Linked DNA regions of Oreochromis niloticus. The protein of the gene in region 3 purifies or fractionates together with the protein of the main gene of each other region. This does not show direct contact. Links are inferred from orthologs where the notes say so. Each region holds a gene or a part of one and is shown on either strand. Other genes may lie near its edges. The genes, in order: pes, rexo4 and rpl7l1.

Region 1 (6,973 bases), on a different chromosome or scaffold from region 3:
CCACACATTTCTGATTCTTAATGAGCAGGCAAGTCATTAAGGACAATTTTTTATTTACGATGTTTGCCTGGCAACCTATGTTATAACCCCACAGTAATAAAGTGACTGCTTATTATTAGCACTGTCCCTGTTGACTGCAATTTGCCAAACTGCACTTACATCATGGGAGAACTGATATGGCACCACCCATGTAATGAGCTGTCCCATCACCTCAGCCTGATAATATATTCCCTTGATGGAGAGGAAAACCTATCAAAGTAGACAAACATTTAGTGCATTACAGAACACAGGTCAATCAACTCTCACTGAGTCAGATCAATAACAGGCTGGTGAACTTGCACCTTTCGCAGAGAACGTGATGTGATCACATAGTTCATCCACTCCACAGTGAGCCGTTTGCACAGCTGGATTGTCTGCACATGACATTTTCCTGTTCGAGCAAAAGTGGAGAAGAGGAAGCACATGCAGAGGGCATCGTCGATATCACGGAGGGCATCAATGAAGGTTGGATACCTGCCAAAAAAAGAAGCACAAACAATATTTGTGAGGTTTTGTTTTTGTTTTGTGTTTTTAACAAAAACATCTTCCCTTTCAAATAAAAAAAAAAAAATCTGTTAAATTTCAATTAAAGCTTTAAAAAAAATCTACTGACAGACTACTAAAGATCCTGTCCTACTGTTACCCTACAATTTCAATTTAATTCATACAGTGGCAGAGAAAAAAAGATCAACTGTGCCCTCTTATGTTCAGTGTGAAGAATAACCACCCCACCTTTCTTTGATGATGTGATCCAATTTATAGGTTGGCTTGTTCTCTCTCAGTCTTTCCACTGCAGACCACTCTGTTTTTCCATAAGCCTTCTTAAGCTTACGCACAAATATCTATAAAAAGAAAATAACACAGGTACAAAAAAAGACTGTCAACCAAATTTAAATCAAACTATAAAACAAAGACATGATGAGGAAAAACTGATTAAAACAAAGTGTTTTAAATATCCTTTTTGTAGAGGTAAAGCACACTAAGGCACTGGTTTCTTATGTAAGATACCTTGTACTCTCTGAATTTTCCAACAATTGGCTCATGGAGCAGAAAGCGGATGTCCTTGAGCAGGTAGAAGGTCCTTGGGGCTGTAGAGCCTTTGTTCACCTTCTTCTTGTGCTTTGGCTCATGAGGATATATGCCTTTGAGAATGCAAAGTCGCCTGAAAATCAGAGAAGAGAAATCATTTGTCTGCAACAAGGTTCCTTTCTGGGAAAGCCTTGCAACTGGAAATCGAGATTTGGAACAAACTTGGAGAAAAGTAAGTTGCTGTGATGTAACAGAAACAGAAACTAATCTGGTGTTTATAAAAAAATCTTAGTAATATTGGCATGGAGAGTAACATTTTCAAAACCAGGGATTTATTTTGAAATTACCAGCCACTGCCAAATATTCTGATCACATTCACTAAAAATTTAAGACACCTCAGAATTTTTTGTTAAATTAATATATGCACATTATATGTCAGATGTGATTTATGGATATAGTGCTGATCATAAAGAATATCACTAGGTGCAGATCCATTATTAACTACTAACATAACTTTATCTCACTAACTTGGGCGTCAATACATTGTTCCTTGTTGAAGGTAACAAGGTTTTTACTGAAATGCTAATTAAACTTTGCTTCACTTTTGAGGATGCATTAATACTTTTTGCATTTCACTCACTTTTTTCAAAGATGCGAGAAGCAGAAGTAGTGAAAGAGGAGTTTTAACGCTGGGGTCAACCATCCAAAGCAACAGTGCACAAGAGAGGTTAAGAAGAGAGTGCAGGGCAGATGGAAATGAAGGTCAGGGGTGATTTGTGGCAGACGGATAGCAGCAAGAATGACAGCTAAGGATTGCAAGATGGTAGTGAGACCTGCTGTGAAGTATAATTTGGACAGGAGGCCAAGCTGGTAGAGCTGCTGAGATTTTCAACTTTACAGTAGGAATGTAAGAATTGAGTACATCAAAGGGACTGCTAAGATTGAGCAGAGACAAAGTTAGAAACAAGGCTGGGATGGTTTGGACATGTGTAGAGGAGGGACGGTGGATGATTACTGGACAAAGGATGTTGATGGAGCAGATGTCTGGCAGGTGGAAAAGAGGAAGACCACAGAGGAGATTCATGGATGTAGCGAAGTACATGCAGAGTGTTGATGTGAAAGAGGAGGATGCTAGGGACTACTGTTGTGACCTCCAAAGCCAGGAGCCGAAAAGAAATGCACTTTTGTTTGACTCTGCACACATGTCTACCTTGTTCAATACACAGCACAGTTCAATACACAGTTTCACAACAAACAAACAAAGAAAACCCACTGAGTTGAGTTTTAAAGACTGTGTTGTAAATGGGCCCTAGCACCTTTTTCCACCCAGAAAGCGTTAGCTACTATACAATAACGAGAAACTAATATAGTGGCGTCGGGGTATGAATATATCGTGATTTAAAACACAGACAGACAGACAGACACACACACACACACACACACACACACACACACACACACACACGTGTAAAAATGCTAACTGCAACGTTACCTGAAGTCCGGGAGGCTGAGCTGCAACTTCTTTCGAGCTCTGTTTCTGGTGATGTAGTTGGTGGCAGAGCCCCTCTCAAACTGGAAAACATAGGAAGATGCTCATATTCAGCACAAACAGTATGTGTTAACAAGGCACATAAGCTCACCCGAGTCCAGGAGAATCTACTGTTTGAGAAAAACAAACTTCAGCTAGCTGTTAGCTAACTGGATAGTCAGACTTTTGGTAATAAAACGCCCGACATTACACGAACACCCACACCTACCTTTTTCTTTTGAAGACCTCCCATTTAGAGACCGTTTCTAACCCTCCACAGAGTTTTATCCAATTGTAGTTGTTTTCACAAAGTACACGATTCGCAATGTTACACAACAACGACCGACACGACACGCAGCAAATGCACGTGCGGCTTGACATGCGCGAAGGAGATGGCCCAAACAGCAGGACCCATGGGTGGGCCGTTGATCTGCCTGTTTACAAAGGAAAGCCGCAAAAGGGTTTTGGACGTGAAACATTCGTACATACACTGTATGGAAGGTTTACATACACTCATCAATGGCGTGTGCTTTTTACGGAAGCGTAGAGCTGCCACCCAGGCAAAAGAAAAATAGAAGTATATCACGTTATAACGTGAAAAGTTTATTGTTCTAACAAGATACTTTTCGCATTTGAACAACATAATATGACGTTATTACAATATACATAATTATCACGTTCGTACAATATAATATTTATATTGTACGAACGTGATATTTATATTGTACGAACGTGATAATTATGTATATTGTAATAACGTCATATTATATTGTTCAAACGTCAAAAGTATATTGTACAAACATGAAAGTATATTGTACAAACATGAAAAGTATCTTGTTAGAACAATAAACTTTTCACGTTATAACGTGATATACTTCTATTTTTCTTTTGCCTGGGTGGCAGCTCTACGCTTCCGTAATACAATAAGCGCTTAAAACAAACAAACAAACAAACAAACAAACAAACAAACAAACAAACAAAAAAACACCTTTTTATGACGGAAAGAGAAACTACCACTTGTAGCCAGTCATTATCACTAAAAATAAGTTCATAGGTCATATAAGTGTCAGCATCATTTAAGAATTAAGCGAGTGTATATGTTTAAGCTTTTTATGTTTAAGGATTGGAGAAAATCCAAAATAAATTCAAACTTGTGCACTAAGTTCTTGTTTCATCTTTAAAAGCTCAAAATTACCATCACATTAATAGCCAGGATGAGTGTATGTAAACTTCTGACCACAACTATAAGTGACAGCACTATTTTTTATTATATTACTATATATAATAAAGGTACCTGTTCGCCCTGCAGGCAGTCTTTATGCCTCAAGCTTGGGTCCCCTACCAGAGGCCTGGAAGCTTGAGGGTCCTGTACAGTATCTTTGCTGTTCCCAGGACTACACTCTTCTGGACAGAGATCTAGAATATCATTCTTGGGATCTGCTCAAGCCACTTGCCCAGTTTGGGAGTCACTATCCTGAGTGCTCTGATTACCACTGGGACCACTGTTGCCTTCACCCTCCACATCTTCTTAAGCTCTTCTCTCAACCCATGGTATTTCTTGAGCTTCTTGTGTTTCTTCTTCCTGAAAATGTTATCCTAGCAACATCTTTCACTGTGGCCATCTTCCTCTGCTTGTCCAACACTACTATGTCCAGTTGGTTAGCCATCACCAGTTTGTCTGTCTGTAACTGGCAGGCTCTTAGCTCAGTCATCATCAACCACCATGGAGGGCATATCACATTTTGACCTCATGACTTTCAGGCCATACTTGGCACAGATATTTCTCTATATACCAGCTACCTGGATTTGCTGCCATCTAGCATCTTGCACCCTGGTGTTATGTGTTGGAGTGTCTCAGGGACATCTTTGCACAGCTTGCACCTGGGGTCTTGCCTGGTGTGGTACACCATTGCCTCTATGGATCTTGTACTTAGAGCTTGTTCCTGCGCTGCCATGATTTGTGCCTCTGTGCTGTCTTTCAGTACAGCTTTTTTCAGCCATTGGTTGGATTTCTTGATAATAGACACTTCTTCTATCTGCTGGTGGTACATGCTGTATGGGGGCCTGTCCTTCCATGATGGTTCCTCTTCTTGCCCTTTCTATTTCTCATGTTTCTGCTGCCTGAGGTATTCACTAAGCACGTGGTCATTCGTTGGCATCTTCCTGATGTACAGGGGTGGTTGTAGCTCAGAAGGTAGAGTATCTACTAATTGGAAGCTTGGTGGTTTGATCCCTGGCTGCTCCAGACTACATGCCAAATATTCTTCGGCAAGATACTAACACCTTGTTGCTCTCCAATGCATCCATCTCAAGTGTAAATGTTTGATAGAAAACACTTAAGCATAGAAAAAGTGCTTGTATGAATGGGTGTGCATGGGTGAATGAGGCATGCTGTATAAAGCGCTCTGAACGCTCTGATTGGGTAGAAAAAGCACTTGTACAGTTCTAGGCATTCCAGGATCCACATGTAAGTCATTGAGTCAGAGGCTCTCTTGAAGTCAGTCCAGGCAGTGCATAGGTTGGTCGGTCTGGTCTTACAGTTACTGATCTGTCTACCAGTAGCTGTTGTTTCCCCCCCACTGAGTTTTTCTGCCAATTCCTGCCCTGCTCATGTATTGAGCCATGTGCCTGTTCATTTTGCTATGATGCCTGACAGAAGCTTCCATGTACTGCAGCAAGTTATTGGCTAGTAGTTGGATAGGACCAGTCAGGACTGTCCGGCCTTCAGTTAGCCATTCTCGTCGTGTCTCATCCATTAGCAGGTGGTTCATTTGTGCTTCAGAGATTCATGAAGGGCAGTTAGCTTCTTTAGTCAGTATCTGTGTATCATGTCAAGGCCTGGTGCTGTCCAAATCTTCATGCTTATGACCCTTTCTTGGATGCCTACTGCTGTGATGGTTACTGGATCTTATCCAGGGAGGTTGCTGTGGTCTGCTCTTAGAGCCACTAGCCACTGAGCATTATTGCTATAAGTTGCATCTCGCACATGGTCTTCCAGTACTGCTAGGTCTCCAGCATTGGTGAGGCTGTTGTTCTCATATTGTTTCCCTGCCACTGAGAGTACCTTGAATGGTTTATTCTCCTGGCTTCGAACTTTCTGGTATACCTTTTCAAGCAGCTACCCAAGGCTGTGAGTCTTTGCTTGGCAGTTTCTAAGACCTCAGGTATGGACAGGTTGTTGTACTTCTTCGGCATCCCTTTTTTCGTCACACCTTTCTGCAGGTTTGACCGTTGCTCATAAAAATCCAGACCAACACACTCTGATCAAAACCAGTAATTTCAAGCAATTAATAGATCTGCAAATTTTGACAATTTAAAACAATGTATGTGCAAAGTAAGACAGTATGTAAAAAGAAAAGATAAAAAACTAATAACAAGAAGATGAGAGTTAAAAGAGTCTTGCACAGGGAGAAACTGATCCAGGCATAAAGCTGATTTATCAGAATAGAGTGGCATAAAAAATGAATCCTGCCTTCAACCACATCAGGACCCCACCCCCTACTCTCTTGTTCACTCACTGGTGCCAGGGATGCTTGAGAGAAATGCAGGCTGGAGCTGAGAAAAAGACATGATGACAGAAATTTAAAGCTAAATATACAGATTCAATCATAAGACTTCACAAGAACATCTGAGGATATGACGGAAACATGCCATAAAATCATCATGGGGCTACATAACTTCCTGAAGGAGTATATTCATGGTTTTTGGGACTATGAGACCCCCAAGGTGATGGTGGTTAAGAACAGAACTCTTGGCGTGATTTACAGGAGTGTTCAGTTTCTTGTGATCACTTATTTCATATGGTAAGCTTCACTTACATTTGCATGTCTAATGACTGGGTGTGTGGACAATGTATGAAATTCAGGTTTATTTTGTCTTTTCTACATTTTTTCTGTTAGATCTGTTGGTCTGAATGTGTTTTCTTTTAAATTTAATTACAGTAAAATTAAAAGCATTTTTTAAATGAATAATATTCATGCAGATGAAATAAATACACTACGGCTTTAAATTTTAACTAATGCAGTGCAGTTTTGTGGGGAGGAAATGCATCCCATTTGCAATTAACAGCATAAAATTCAACTATCCAACTGAGTGTGACTCATCCAGTCTCTATATTATCAGAGATTTAAATGCTATCCAAGGAGAACAGATGTAAAGTGTTTCAGATTTGAAATAAACTAAATGCTCTGAAGTGAGCATCTGAAAGTACATCATCACCTTTTTTGTCTTCAGCAAAGAGGGCTGAGCAGATCCAGGGTAACATGACACCGCCAATAAAAATTGACATCATGGTAGAAAATGTGATATTACCTCTGTCTCTTCTATCATCCTGAAGGTATGTCTTTATAAGTCAGAAAGCATACCAAGAGAGTGAAA
Region 2 (7,719 bases), on a different chromosome or scaffold from region 3:
ACATCGAGGATCTTTGCATGGGCCTCGTTGAAGCGGATCTCGTTGTTGTTCGCGGGCAGTGATACAGGAGTCAAGACGTGCTTGCTTAAGTGGTAGCCTTTCCCACCTTTAAATGAAACATAAGAGAATGCAGTGAATATCAGAGCAGGATAGCATCTCTGAACAATGTGGACCCCTGAAGCAGAATGGCTATAGCAGCAGAAGACCACACAGGTGCCACTCTAGTGAGAGCTCATTCTAAGAACAAGAAACTGAGGCTTCAGTTTGCATGGGCTCACTAAAATTAGGCAATAGCCATTCTTGGAATACTTTGATCCCTGATTACAAACTGAGAATCATCTAAATGCCAGAGCCTATCTGAGTATTGATGCTGACTATGTCCATCCCTTTATGACCACAGTGTACCAATCTTCTACTGACTCCTTTAGACAAGATAGTCGCCATGTCACAAAGCTCAATTCATGTAAAACGGGTTTCTTGAGCATGAAAATGAGTTTCCTGTACTGAAATGGCCTCCACAACTCAAAGTGAGAATCACAGTGAGGAAGAAAGAACTTTGAATGTGAGATGTTAATGCTAGATGGGCTGGTCTAAGTATTTCACAACTGTCTGCTGGGATTTCCTCACACAAGCGCTGGAGTTACATATAATGGTAGGAAAAAGAAAATATCCAGTGAGCAGCAGTTCCCTGGCAGAAAACAGCTTATAATGTTAGAGGTCAGAGAAAAATGGCCAGACTCCTTTGATCTGATAGGAAGGCAAAAGTAACCACAATTGAGGTATGCAGAAGGTCATCTGTGACAACACCTGAAGCCAATGGGCTACTACAGCAGAAGACCACAATGGGTGCAACAGCTGTCAGCTAAAAACAGGAAACTGAGGTCACAGTTTGCACTGGCTCATCGAAACTGGACGACAGAAGAATGGGATGTGGTGATCAGGGAGATTCCCATTATGGATGTGCAGCTGACAAATCTGCAGCAATCTGATATGAATCAAGAAACATTGACCAAAATCTGTGACGAAATTTTCCATCACCCTGTTGAATCTAGGCCATGAATAATAACGTAATAATGCATTAATAACATGTCCAGTAAGTTTATGTGTAAGAAGTTAAAACACTATTTTATTTGTGTTTTATGTAAAAAGAATGAAATATTCCAGAGAAATCAACTGTTTGCCAAGAAGTTAATACTTTTGACAACTGTCAATTTTGCCTTTTTCTGGGAATAGAAACACTAAAGAGCAGATCCGTTCTTTTTGGGAATAACTGTTTTGCATTCATTGCCTTAACTTATATCTGTATCTTTGCATCCCCTCATACACCTCTACTTAATCAAGGGATCTTTACACCTTTCTGGAAGGGTTATTGCTGGGTGACCCATGTAGGGGAAGTGCAGAATTTCAGATAGTTTAGATGATGGGGTGGGGTCTTCCTGGGCGGCTTCTTATTGCTAGGCAACCAGTCGTCATCAGACGCAAACGGATGATAGTTTTGTAGGTTTTTATGCTTGACTTGATACCTCACTGTGCTGTCACTCCAGTTTACATTTCTAAATAAACATTTGCACAAGAGGTCATCACTGCTCTTACCAATCAACCAAAACGGGCTGTGCAGGTCCTCTTGCATTTCCCTTCCTTTAAAGGAGGAGTCCCACATCTCTTGCTCAAACGTGCCACCAACACAGCACTTTTCAACACTCAGTATGTTGCCGTCGCAGTCGCATATGATCTGGCTTACAACCGATGTGTAACCCAGGGCATTGATAAAAGACCTGAAGGCGTCTTTTTCATATGGAGATGCTCTGATCTTGAAGTGCGCAGGAGCCAGGACGCCCAGCACGTTTGGGATTCCGCAGAATTTCTCTATCTTTAATGCGACGTTAGTTCTGGCGTCCAGGGTTAGCGGGAAAGAGATGAATACATCGGACATCCCTGCTATGACTCCCGAGATTGTACCAACCACAGTCGTGGGGCACTCCGTCTGCCTCAGTCCGGCTTTCTGCAGCACAGCAGTGGTGGAGACCCCATGTGCGTAATAATTGAGCGCCACCATGACCATCTCGTCCACGGGCAGCTGGGATTTCTTGGGGGCGGCGTCCTTCATGCGGATGCGGACGGCGTCTGCGATAAACAGGATGCAGGGTCTGCTCAGGTGGAACAACTGAAAAAGAGCTTCATCGTCGAAAGTGTCAAAGCAGCTCGAAGCTCCGTAGTCTGCCTCGTTTTGTGCCAGGAGCTCCTCCTGGACCGCAAGCCAGACAGGCACGGCGAAAGCCATTAGTTTTTACTCCGATGTATTTAAACAAGCAAAGATCCCCCACGGCGTGCCCGAAATCGTTCCCAAACAACGTCTTCTTCTCCTTTGGCTTGGCAGACTGGACGCTGGGCGGCGTGCTGCTGCCCTCTGCTGTTCACTTGTGTCCCTGTTTCGACATCTGTGTTGTTATATATTGCAGGATTATGCGGACACTCGCCCAGTTTCGTAATCTTATTCCGGTTATGCAGGCTGATTAAAGCGCAACAACAAATCTCCTGGTTGCCTCGTCTTTGTTTAACGTTTAAGCTAAAGCGATCCGTTATCGCCACCTAGTGGACAGCAATAAAAAACATTTGAAAAAGACTGCAGTTCACAATGTGTAAACCAGTTGTGTGGAAAAATCCCAGCAGATCAGCGGTTTCTGAAATACACAGACCAGCCCATATGTCATCAACAACCATAACGTTGAAAGTCACTAAAATTACACACCGTCTTGACCATGTCTACATAACTAAATGCACTGAGTTTCAGATATTAGATATTTGTGTTAACAAGCAGTTAAACAGGTGTACCTAATAAAGTGGCTGGTGACCAAAAACCAAAAATGTAGTGTGGGATAAAATGCTAAAAACTACCTCTTATTCTCTGGGATAATCAAGTGCAGATGTTCATTTGCAGCTTTAGTAAGATTTGGATGGGCATAAATAATTATCTGGAGCCACTTTTATTCTAGACCGACATTTCTGACAGGCATTAAAGTATTAGAACAAAATAAGATGTTCCTTTCTTCTAGCAGTGGACTTAAAAATAAAAGAATTAACATAAAAATATGATTATTTATGACATGTTTATTGCACAGAATAATAAATATAAACATTCTGTATTTTAACATAGACAGCACAGCCATTTACTGTTGTTTTCATTCAATATACATCTTATTGTGACCAGTGTGTTCGGATACAGAATTCACATTTAACCATTATAAAGATGCTTAAACAATAAAAAAGTCAACAGAATATATCTTCTTATAAATAAGGCACAAAACATTTCATAAAAAAAGACAAACAGTAACACCAAAATAAAACCCCTGCAGCTTTACTTCTTCTCTGTCCACAGCAGTATCAGACTGTGCTTGTTACATACTGGGTGATAAATAGAACATTTTGTTGACTTCACTAATGGACACATCCTTCAATCGGGGTATTCCACCGTTACGGCAGGACTCGGTGCTCTGGCCTTGTGCATACACATCTGTGACAGAAAAAAGACATTTAACAATCAGGAAATTCTGAAAATGTGGCATGGCTGTTGGTGGCAGACGGGCTGGTCCGAATATTTCAGAAGCTGGTAATCTGCTGGGATTTCCCCCACACAACAATCTCTGACATCAACAAAACATTTTGTTGACGTCCTCACCTGTGATGTTGTCCACAGAGTCCAGCGGTGCCGTGTTGCGCATGTTCACACCGAATAACAGTATGAAACAGACTGTTATTGCGACCAGCAAGTAGATTGGCATCGCAAGAGCCCAGTATCTAAACAGAACACACATTTGACACTGTCGTGAAACTGTGCAGGTGCTTCCCCAGTGATCCATTTATCTCAGAGCAGTTCTACTTACTTTTGAGGCCAGTAAGTGAGCCCTATTGAATGAAGCCACTCCTCTGGCACGAAAGCCCATAAGCAATACAGAACTGTGGAGAGACGCAGTGAGTATTACAGACATGCACTGCTTGAACTCCTGTTTGTGTTTTGGATTGATTCACTTACAGAAGCCAAACTGTGATCCGAGGAAGAGAACAAACCCATAAATGGCCCTCTCAGGCAGAGGAGATGGAGAGTTTTCCACCATGATCTACAACCAAAACACAGACAGAAAGGTGTGGGAGAGCAACGAGACAGCAATAAAACATTCAGGCCCCAAAGAGAAGTTACATACCTGGAAATACGTTTTTTCTTTGCTCCTTTAAACCCTAACTTTACTCAGATTTTTAACATTAATTACCACGTTAATTATATGCCTGATGATTATCAAAAGCAATACAAAATGGGTTTAACACGTCTATCAAAACCCACTGTGCCTTTTTTACATTAGTGCTATGAAGCCTTCCGCAACGGTCCGTCACTTTTCCTCAGAACGATGCGAAACTTTTTCTAAAACATTAGTTCCGCCATTGAATCGCTCACAAAACAAGCGTCAAAACATGACTTTTTTACGTTTATCATATAAAATTTCACATTTATATAATTGTAAAGCAAAAGCACGGTCGGAGATTTTTTTTTCACATCTTACTGACGTGACGCACTTGAGCTACAGCACGACGTCATGTTTGTGACGGACATATTTCACTGTTGCACATCGTGGAAAAACACTCAACGGCATGGCTTCGGAGAGAGTTAAGTTTTACGAGTAAGCGATTTTATGTACAGTTCAGGGACGTGCTTCAGTAATGCTCGTGTGCTGGCCGAAAGGTGAGCTTAGTCTGGGGGAGACATTTCTTACTGTCTGAAGTTGTTTGGCAACTCAAGTAACGGACATCTGACAAGCCAGCGTGGCTTTACACACCTCACCACGAAAAATATAAGGAGGTGAGGATACATGAGATAGGTGATCATAATGTCTAAGGTGGAGAAACAGAAAAAACAGTTTCCCGCTAAAGCACGTAAGCGGAAACCTAATAAGAAAAACGGCATATTAAAAAAGAACGAGAGGCAGTGGTTTTACTCAGCTCCTGCAAACAAGGAGCAAGAAAAGCCTACAGCTCCACAAACTGCTCCTCCAAAAGACTCCCAGCAGTTCTCTGCCAACTGGAAAGCACTTCAAGAGGTCAGTGAGTGCAGTAGTTTGATATCCATGCATGTCCTGTCACACAATTTGGTTTTTGTGTGCCTGTGTTTAATACTACCCACAGGTTTTTCTCCCTTATTTTCCTCCCTTCAGGTGTTGAAGGCCAGTCAGTCAGAGAAGAAGCAGCCAGTGGCACCGAAACATCAGAACGGCTTCTTGCCAAAGAAGGTCCAAGAAAATACTTCTAAAATAATTTCTAAGAACAATGCTGGACCAAGCCAGAGAGACACTGAGAAAAAAGCGGATCACAAAACTGTGCCTAAGAGTTTTGTCTCCGGTAAGACTGGGGTCAACTCAAAGGTGTTGGATGTCTCGAAGACTAAACATGCTACTGCTCCAAAAAGAGAGCGGGATAGCGGGAAGCCAAACAGCCTACAGGCAGCTAAGAAGAAGAAGCTTGAATCCGAGGAGACAAAGCCCACAGAGTATGTATATATTAGCACTGAAGTTGACTCATTTATTCAGCAAGAATATTTTTGTCTGATAATCCCATCTCATTCTCTGCTGTTGCAGAGAGGACCTTTGGTTTGATGACGTGGACCCGGATGACATTGAGGCGACAATGGGAGCAGAAGCAGCCGAGATCATGAGGAAGAAGCAGGGCAAGGCCAAGGGTACGGATGGTGCCTCGGCTAAGGACACGGAGAAGAGCCTGGTTAAGGAGAATGCTTTTGAAGGGTAAGTCGCTGTGCATTCAGTGTACAGTGAGAACCACACTCAGAATACAGCGGGCAGCTTTGATGCCATTTTAGAAAAGTGCGTGAAAATATTCCCGGGGAAAGATGCACGCCTTAACAGCGATTATAAAAAATATCAAGTCCCTAATGTCATTACTTCTCTCAATACAAGTATTTCACAGGAATGTTGCTGCCGTGGTGTTATTAGCTGGCTGTGAGTAACTGTGGATGTAATATTAACAATGTGGATTTGGCACATGATGTCATACTTGGGAAATGTCACACAAAATGTGTTTTTCCCAACATATAGACTTTAATATCTCTGAAACCGCTCAACTGACTCGGCCTGTTTAAACAACATTATGTGCCTCATGCATAAGAAGCTCAAAGTAAATGATCAATCCCCCCCCCACCTTCTACAGTTCTCTGGATCTGCTGTCAAAGATCAGACATCCAATTATTTTAGGGACTCCTTCTGTATGAAGTTGAGCTACACTCCTGAGGAGATGGAGACTGTTTTTTTCCCCCTCAGTGGAGAGCTTCATGGAGCTTTCCTTCAAGGAGTCAAGTATTACATATAGTCTGTGATAAATACTTTTGCCATTGCATGTTTTAGTGAATTGTCTGGACAGAGCATGAAGTAAACATGGTTGCTGACTGTTTTCTGCGGGTTATGGAGATGGATAAATTGTTGAATGGAATTTATACAATTAAATCCTTCACTGCGGTGACGTAGCCTGTCAATACAGCTTCAGAGCTCACTACATTGCTGTGGAAAATCATTGATAATACAGATAAATGCTGTGGAAAAACCTGTGACCCCTGATGGATGAATGGATGGATGCATTCTGAGCTAGGTCACAAAAGGTATGACCCTATTATGCTGTGTCTGCCGGTCATGCGCCTCTCAATTTTGTAACCTGAAGCGTTGAGCAAGGGTTAAAGACGAGAGTGTACGATTGTATCAGTTTTTACAATCATTTTAAGGATATTCCGCCACAAAAACTCAGAGACATGCAGATATACAGAGAAGGAGATGTAGGAACAGTGTGAAAACTTGAGTTTGTGGAAAAAACTGTGGAAAAAAAACCTCGACAAAGTCTCGGCTTCCGATTTTGACAACTTCTCCTCCTGTGTCAGCACTTATGTGGCGATATTGTCTGATTGCTGACACCTGTCATTCAGGAGAATACTGCAGCAGCTTCCTGCGCCTTCATGGCGGGTATAAATACGACTGACTGTGAGATAGTCTTGCTGGAGCGAGCAAAGCGACCTTTGCGTTTGGTGTACTGGGGCCTTTACATTGAGGTGTTTACGTTGAGACAGAAGATGATGATTGTCATGTCTCTCCTTTCTTGTCACTTTGTCGTTCACCTTAAGCCTCACTAAAGCGGTGGCCATTGACTGTGAGATGGTGGGAGTTGGTCCTGATGGAGAGGACAGCATCTTGGCACGTGTGTCAATTGTGAACCAGTTTGGGAAGTGCATCTATGACAAATATGTGAAGCCCACAGAGAAGGTAACAGACTACAGGACAGCTGTCAGCGGCATCCGGCCAGAGGACATCAAAGATGGTGAGAGAAATGAAATGAGTTGCAAAGAACAACTGAAAGTCTCTTTGTTTCTTATGTTGTGTTTCTGATGTTTTTTAAACCACGTTTGTCTCTCTGCAGGAGCGGATGTACAGATTGTACAGAGGGAGGTTGCTAACATCCTGGAAGGGAGACTAGTGGTTGGACACGCCATACACAATGATCTAAAGGTAGCATGGATGTGATATCGGAAATAGAACAAATGTAATATTTTTCTTAGCCTGATTATGAGCAGCCACAAACTATCTCCTGTTTCAGATTCTGCTCTTGGATCATCCAAAAAAGAAAATCAGAGATACTCAGAAATATAAACCCTTCAAGACGATCGCAAAGGTATGATGC
Region 3 (6,940 bases):
TTCCAAGCAGGGCGGTAGTAAAATTTGAAAAAGTGGAATGCAAACCAGAAATAGAGATGGTTCACCTCAAAGTAACAGCTGTGTCTCAGTGTTACAGTAAACATGTTTCTAAGATGCAACTATTACTTTGAAGGTGAACCTTCTCCATTTCCAGAGCTGTTTCACTACAGCTCGGAGAGCAGCTAGACGCTGTTTGTAGACAAGTCCATCACTTCTATTCAAACTGCAATCAGAGCAATATGCTAGCAACCAAAGCAATCACAAGATCACAAGGAGATTTTTCCCAACTGGACCAAAAGTACATATTTTTATATAGAGACAGAGGTGGTTTCCAGGGAGTCACTGACCATCTGTAGGCATGTGTGACTGGGGCTTTAGCCATCATCCCCCCGGCAACTGCCATCAACCTCCAGCAACTACTCAAAACTGGTTGGGATATACTCATCTGGTGGTTACCAGATGGTCATGGACCTTTCTAATTATCACATGTGCTAGCAAGAAAGCTAACATTACATTGTTACTGATCATGAGTCTGCAAAACCTTGATACACACAACTATGTTTGTCTGCCCTTTAGAGGACATCATAGCCATTAGTACCTAATAGGATCAACTCGGCACGGTTTGCCACCTGCTCGCCCGGGGTTCCAAGCCATCTGAGCAGGTACTAAAATTTGATGTTGTCAGACTGCAAGGCACCCACTGGCTGGTCAGTGGCGTCACTCGATGAGTCCTGAGAGTGATTTTAATTCACGAAAATTAAAACTGCAATTTTTGAAACCCGGCATTGAGGGAAATGGCTACTAAAAACAATGCTTGTGTTCCCCTGAGTCTGACGAAAGGCCACAGATGGAGCAGCAGGTATATTCTTGACTCCAACTCCACCTTTTTTGTAGCTTTCGTGTCGCAGATTTATTACATCAACTTTAACAGTACTAGTCGGCATTCAAAAAAGGGAAAAAATAATTTAAGAAGTAAAAATAGAACCATGCATTTTATTTTACATAACACTTCAAAGAACGATGGAGTATGACAGAGGGAGAAAGAGAGGAAGAGAAAGAGGAAGGGATGAAAAGAGAGAGAAGGTGCACAGCTGAAATGAAGTGCACTGTGACTGCAGGTGAGTGGGGAGGGAGGCTGTAGTGTGAGTGACTCACCCATGTGCTCCTCGATGAAGGTGTTGTCTGTGAGGGGAACTCTCCTCCTGCCTATCCTGGTCTGACCTCTCTTCAGAATGAGCTCACGAACCGACTTCAGGTTGGGAAATCTGTCCAACACACAGCCCAGTATGTAGAGGATTGAACACAAATTCAAGCCAGCATTACCCTCCAAAGTACACGGTGTCTCACGCACTCACCCCCATGCCACATAAGGCTCCACCATCTTCATCATCGCGATGGAGGTCTTGTTAATTTTGACAAAGGTCCCGCTGAAGATCTTCCTCAGCCTCATCATCTGGATCACTTTCATCACTTTAGGACTGACGCCTTTAGTCCTAACAGGAGAGAACCAGTTGGGTTAAACAAACTGTCGGCCGGTTCTGGAAGCCTGTGTCTGCTTTCCAGTACTCACTGTCTAATGCGGACAGCGAAGGCAAGCTTGTTCTTGGCTGGTGGTAGAGGTTCAGCCGGTCTCTGTTTGACCCTTTGGATGCGGGTGTCATCCCGATGCTGCGTGTGGCTTTCCTTTAAGAAATCTTCCAAACGCTTGAACTTGATTTTCCCTTTAGTCACCTGCAGCATTACAGGAATACACACATGAATGCACAACAGTACATAAATTCCATACAGCCTTTAACTACAAAGTTAGTATATATTGTATTGTATATATGTAACAAGCATCAGTACTTACCCTTCTCTTCTCGAGCAGTGCGAGTTTCGCTTGCGTGGCTTTGATTGCCTGGTATGCCTTCCTCTTTTTCAGAAGATACTCTGGAACCAACTTGATTGCCTTTTTTGTCCTGAAGAGAACAAAAAGTAAGAGAAAGAAGCTTTGGACAAACTAAATCACCAGTGTGTGAATGTGTGCGTGAATGGGTGGATGACTGGATGTGTAAAGCGCTTTGGGGTCTTTAGGGACTAGTAAAGCGCTATACAAATACAGGCCATTTACCATTTACCATTTAAATAAATGCGGCTCAGTCACAAGATTGTGCTGTGGAGGAGAACTGGAGGCGTTGACTAGCTTCAGTTGCAACCCTAAAACTAAGGTTTTTCAGTGTTACCACAGTGGGTTACTTCTTACTGGGGTATCACAGGTATGATAGGTGTGTTAAGACTGCTTCTCCAAAAAAAAAAAAAAAAAAAAAAATTGTTTATGAGGACCTAGTTAGCCTGAGGTCCCAGGGATTTTCTTGCGTCCTTGTAATAGGACGGCCGGGAGAACAGGATTGTCTGACACAAATTCAAACAGCATGACCCAGAAATTTTAGGGGTCACGCCAAGTCGGGAGGCCGTGGGTATACTTATTCAGTTCGGAGCTACCTTCGGTTCACCGACGGTATACACTCCATGTGAAAGTAAGCTCCTCCAGATACGCCTTTTTCACCCATCATCTTTCTAAATAGACACCTTAATCGAATCTTTAAGACTCGTACTTAGCGGGAAAAGCATAAACAGCACAGCTACACATAGGAAACCGAACGGATGAACTTAGATACAATTATAAAATCAAACACATACTCTGATTCGGCCATCGTAGATTCTTCGTCGCGGACAAATGACGTCAGCAGACAGTACCTCGACCTGCCCCAGCGTTTCGGGTCGAGCCTTTCCATTCAGCGGTCCATGTTTGGGGGTGATGCCATCATGTGTAGATCTGACATTTTTAAGGTGATGCCACAAGATGCCGCGGTACATTGGGGGTGATGACGATGCCACGGCCGTCTGCACAGACATGCCTCAAAATACTAAGCTAAAGCGTCCATTCCATCATGCTAGTATCGATGCTATCGACGTTCGGATCGATCCGCCCATCTCTTACTCTTTTTCCAGGTTTAATTTTTGTAACCTGGCGTGTTGTGCCGCTGCAGATTGGTTGCAAGAACGAATGCAACCGCCTCCAAATGGGACAATCCCCACTAGGGTTTAAATTCCCGGGACTCTCCACCTTTTGTTTTTAGAACCTTTTAAGCCTGTTTCCTTCGTCAAGCTCTGTCTCAATGCTGCCATCACCTGGATGGCTGAGAACCCACACAGACATTTGTCTCACTTTGCATCTATGCAAATCTGACAGTAAAAGATTTGTTTTAACACCAAGCATGACCTAGGGTTACACAAATATTTTTATCAGGACCACTTAAGGTTTGCCTTCCTTGCATGAAAGTCTAAAATAAACTTATTTTGGATTTTCATATATTAATCGTTTGAGTTATTTAGTGAATGTGAATAAAGCATACACTGTTATTCAGCCATGCCTCCCTGTTCCCACACACCATGGCCATTTTGGTTTCAGTGTTTTATACACTGCTCAAAAAAGGATATCTATACTGATATGGACCGGGTAATGTGTTAGGAACAAAAGGATATCATGTGGAAATGAGAATGATTAACCTACATAGGTTGAATTCAAAGACGCCCTAAAAAGATGGTATTCTCCTTATATCGCCTTTAAAGAGACATACAGTACATCTTTCCAAATGCCTTGGAAATAATCAGTTTTCAGAAAATATTTTAAACTGTTCAGAAAAACTGCTTCAGACCTAGGACAAGACAGAGCTGTGGTGTAGGCATCCAAAACACGTGCTTTAAGATGCATTTTAGCACTACATGTCACATTTTCGGGCTCTAAACCCTATAAAGCTGCTATACTGTGGAAAGGTTGCACAAACACTCTAAGAAGGATGAACACTTCAAGTCATAAAATTAAATGAAAAGATGACACAAATTATTTTCCTAATTCTTTCACTGTAGCAAAGTCCATGAAATCACTTTTTTAAAAATATGGCATAAGTACAAAAGGCAGTCAGGATCTGTTCCCTGGCCTGAAGGCACAGGGAAACGACCCTATTGTGAAATGGCGAAAACTCCAAAATATAGGCATCAGGCCAAGGGGATACAAGGATACCCACCCCAGCCCACCACCTCTCAGCAAGGCCAACTTCAGACTGGAACAGAGTCCAGCCCCTCTCCGGGGGACTGGTTCCAGAGCCCAAGTCATGCGCTGAGTTGAGCTCGACTATAGTCAGTATAGCTCAACCTCACATACTAGCTCAGGCTCCTTCCCATTCAGAGAGGCGACGTTCCATATCCCAAGTACCATTCTGGGTAGCTGGGGATCTGTCTGGCAGAGCCACTGCCCTTGGTTGCTACCTGGCACAGATTGCAACAGACTCCTACTATGCCTCCTGGGGGTGATGGGTCTACAGTAGTAAAATATTTATTTATTCTGTATCAGGAGGTCTGCAGGATCTTAGCCCGGTCATTGTCAACCACCCTGTGGGGTATATCCCATTTTGTCCATGGGACTTTAGCCCATACTTAACATAGATGTTCCTGTATTTTATACACTTTGCCAGCCACTTGTATATGGTCTTCCATGTATGCCGTTCATGTTAGCATCTTGTACCCTGCTGTTATGTGCTGGACAGTCCCTGTACAGATAGAGTAACTATGGTAGCAGAGAGACTTACTGTGTCTCAAAGTGCCATCAAGAAGATGATAGAGGTTACTTTATTCTGTTCTGTATTAACTGTGGATCAATTAGTTCACCAAACCTTTTTATATAGGTTTTATTTATTTCAAAAGTGTAGTTTTTTAAGTTTGAATGAACTAAAATGAAAATAAAAACTAAATGTTTTTATTTAGTTTAATTCAACTATAATAACCTTGGCTCACACATTAAGACATACTTTTTTGTGTTCAAAACTCATGTGACTGTGTCAGCACTGTGATTTCCTTCAGTTTAATTTCTCCCTGATAATTGACTGAAATAACTGAACTGAACTACTTTTTGAATATGTGCAGTTTCAGGTCTGAGCGTATTGCTCCATCTAGTGAGCCATCTTAAGCATTGCTTAAAGTGACCTGAATACTGCTTAGTTTTTTTTTTTATAAAGTACAGCAACAACAGAGATATTCTGCACACATCAGTATCAGCTTTATTGGGTAAGTATGAGTATACATAAAAGGAACTGGGCTATATTTTTATATACATTCTAAACACATTTTTAATGACCATTTAATTTATTTAACAGCCACATCTTCTATCTGCCGGTAAAAGCTGTGCAGTGACCTGTCCTTCCACGATGATTCTTGTTCCTCTTCTTTCTCAGGGTTCTGCTGCTTATATATAAAAAGTCCCCTCTCGCCCCTGCAGGCAGTCTATCCTTCAAGCTGAGGGTTCTGTGCAGTATCTTTGCTGTTCCTAGGACCGTCCTCTTCTGGATATGCAGCATGCCTTAGTTTAGTAGCAGGTATACTGGATATGTTAGTAGAATGATCTAAATGTTCATCACAGTGAAGGCCTATGGAAGGAAACTGCACAGATGTCTGCTTGTTTTGATTCTCTGTAGTACCAGAATGAGTCAGTAACATTATTAATATTCTCTGGGGACTAGTTTGACTAGGTGGTAAAAAGAAGTAAAATGTAATTATTTATTTTGTAATTTATTTGCAATTGTGAATAATAATTTCAGTTCAGTAATCCTGCTTGGCGTTCTGCCTTCCTTTCTTTATTCTCCTCTGTCCAAGTCCAACAACACCTTCTCTCTGGCACTACTCAGAAAGTTGAATGCAGCTATAACCCGATCACGGAGGTCGTTCCTCTTTATTTATTTATTTATTTTCTTCAACAAAAGACACTTACTTACTTTGAAAAAATTCTACATTAAATTTACAAAGTTCTGCCCACTCTACAATGCTTTTGATTCAGATCAGCATCAGAATTTGCTTTGCTACATACACTGAATTAAATTATAAATATGAAATATAGAAAAATAAAAATAAGGTACTCCATTGAAGACACAACATGTTTTGAATATGTACTCCAAAGTTATGCTGTATACAATATAAACAAAATATGTGAAAGTGAAAATAGTGAAAATAGTCCAAGTGTCACAGGGAGAGTTTGAGGCTGAATGTGTTCCGACTATCCAGCGTGTCATGGAGAGGGTATGAAGGATTGTGTTATGGTGCGGGTGAGTGGCTGTTTTTCTATTAGCTCTGGGTTTCCACCTCTAGGTGGAGCCTCATCAGCCTTTAAGACCAGCGCTCTTAACAAATCTTTGCCAGAATGTCTGGTAACCTCTGATAGTGCTTGCCCAATTATGTTTCATGAGAATTCATTGTACTTCTTCTTCACTAACTTTGTTATCTCTTATGTCTCTACTATTCTCTGGATCATCTACTCACCTTCGCAGTATAGTCACGTTTTTCTGGATGCTGGTCATGTCTATTCACACCATCACACCATAGTTCACAGTTCATGCTCGATATTTCAAGTGTCACGTTTTCACAGCCTGTAAATAAAGTTTCACTATTGAGAAAGACTGTGCCTCTGGCTGAATCTGCATTTTGGGTCCACTCTCTCGCTCTGGCCATCCTGTTTTAACAGATTGCCCATAACTCGGACAGCTTCCACCTGTCTTACACTGCCATCACAGATGCCTTGAGATAACTTGAGATGCCTGTGCACCACTCTACAGACCAATTCTTAGGAGGAGTCATAGGGAGGTGATGAAAAGTTTGATGGTCACAGGTAAGAGTGGTTCTCTGAGCCAGTCAGAGGTGGGTAGAGTAGCCAAAAATTGTACTCAAGTAATAGTAGCACTACTTAAACATAGTTTTACTCAAGCAAAAGTAAAAAGTAGCCGTCTAAGAAATTACTCTAGTAAGAGTAAAAAAAGTATTTAGTAAAACGGCTACTTGAGTACTGAGTAACAGAGCATAACATCTGATTTAATGTTTAAAAATGAGATAATCAGACAAAGATATAAAGTCTAAC

Evidence for each region.
Region 1: the proteins of rpl7l1 (region 3) and pes purify together in Homo sapiens (affinity purification with mass spectrometry; 4 studies listed by BioGRID and IntAct, counting the BioPlex papers as one, with this or other methods). This does not show direct contact. The link is inferred for Oreochromis niloticus from reciprocal best matches to the Homo sapiens genes RPL7L1 and PES1.
Region 2: the proteins of rpl7l1 (region 3) and rexo4 purify together in Homo sapiens (affinity purification with mass spectrometry; 3 studies listed by BioGRID and IntAct, with this or other methods). This does not show direct contact. The link is inferred for Oreochromis niloticus from reciprocal best matches to the Homo sapiens genes RPL7L1 and REXO4.

What each region holds. Positions count from the first base shown.
Region 1 is NC_031977.2:17,857,600-17,864,572, forward strand, and holds the start of pes (pescadillo), read right to left. Parts: upstream 3,018-6,973; 5' UTR 2,850-3,017; coding exon 2,826-2,849; intron 2,641-2,825; coding exon 2,561-2,640; intron 1,202-2,560; coding exon 1,048-1,201; intron 882-1,047; coding exon 772-881; intron 514-771; coding exon 342-513; intron 250-341; coding exon 160-249; intron 1-159. Other genes in the region: p2rx2 (P2X purinoceptor 2), read left to right, coding at 6,233-6,399, 6,933-6,973. UniProt on the Homo sapiens protein: Component of the PeBoW complex, which is required for maturation of 28S and 5.8S ribosomal RNAs and formation of the 60S ribosome.
Region 2 is NC_031973.2:18,113,337-18,121,055, forward strand, and holds the start of rexo4 (RNA exonuclease 4), read left to right. Parts: upstream 1-4,613; 5' UTR 4,614-4,877; coding exon 4,878-5,087; intron 5,088-5,201; coding exon 5,202-5,533; intron 5,534-5,621; coding exon 5,622-5,786; intron 5,787-7,165; coding exon 7,166-7,359; intron 7,360-7,458; coding exon 7,459-7,547; intron 7,548-7,635; coding exon 7,636-7,710; intron 7,711-7,719. Other genes in the region: si:dkey-197c15.6 (putative nuclease HARBI1), read right to left, coding at 1-106, 1,594-2,281; pigp (phosphatidylinositol N-acetylglucosaminyltransferase subunit P), read right to left, coding at 3,396-3,511, 3,677-3,795, 3,882-3,954, 4,031-4,112.
Region 3 is NC_031980.2:27,061,902-27,068,841, forward strand, and holds the start of rpl7l1 (60S ribosomal protein L7-like 1), read right to left. Parts: upstream 3,104-6,940; 5' UTR 2,775-3,103; coding exon 2,680-2,774; intron 1,959-2,679; coding exon 1,850-1,958; intron 1,732-1,849; coding exon 1,571-1,731; intron 1,494-1,570; coding exon 1,356-1,493; intron 1,266-1,355; coding exon 1,156-1,265; intron 1-1,155.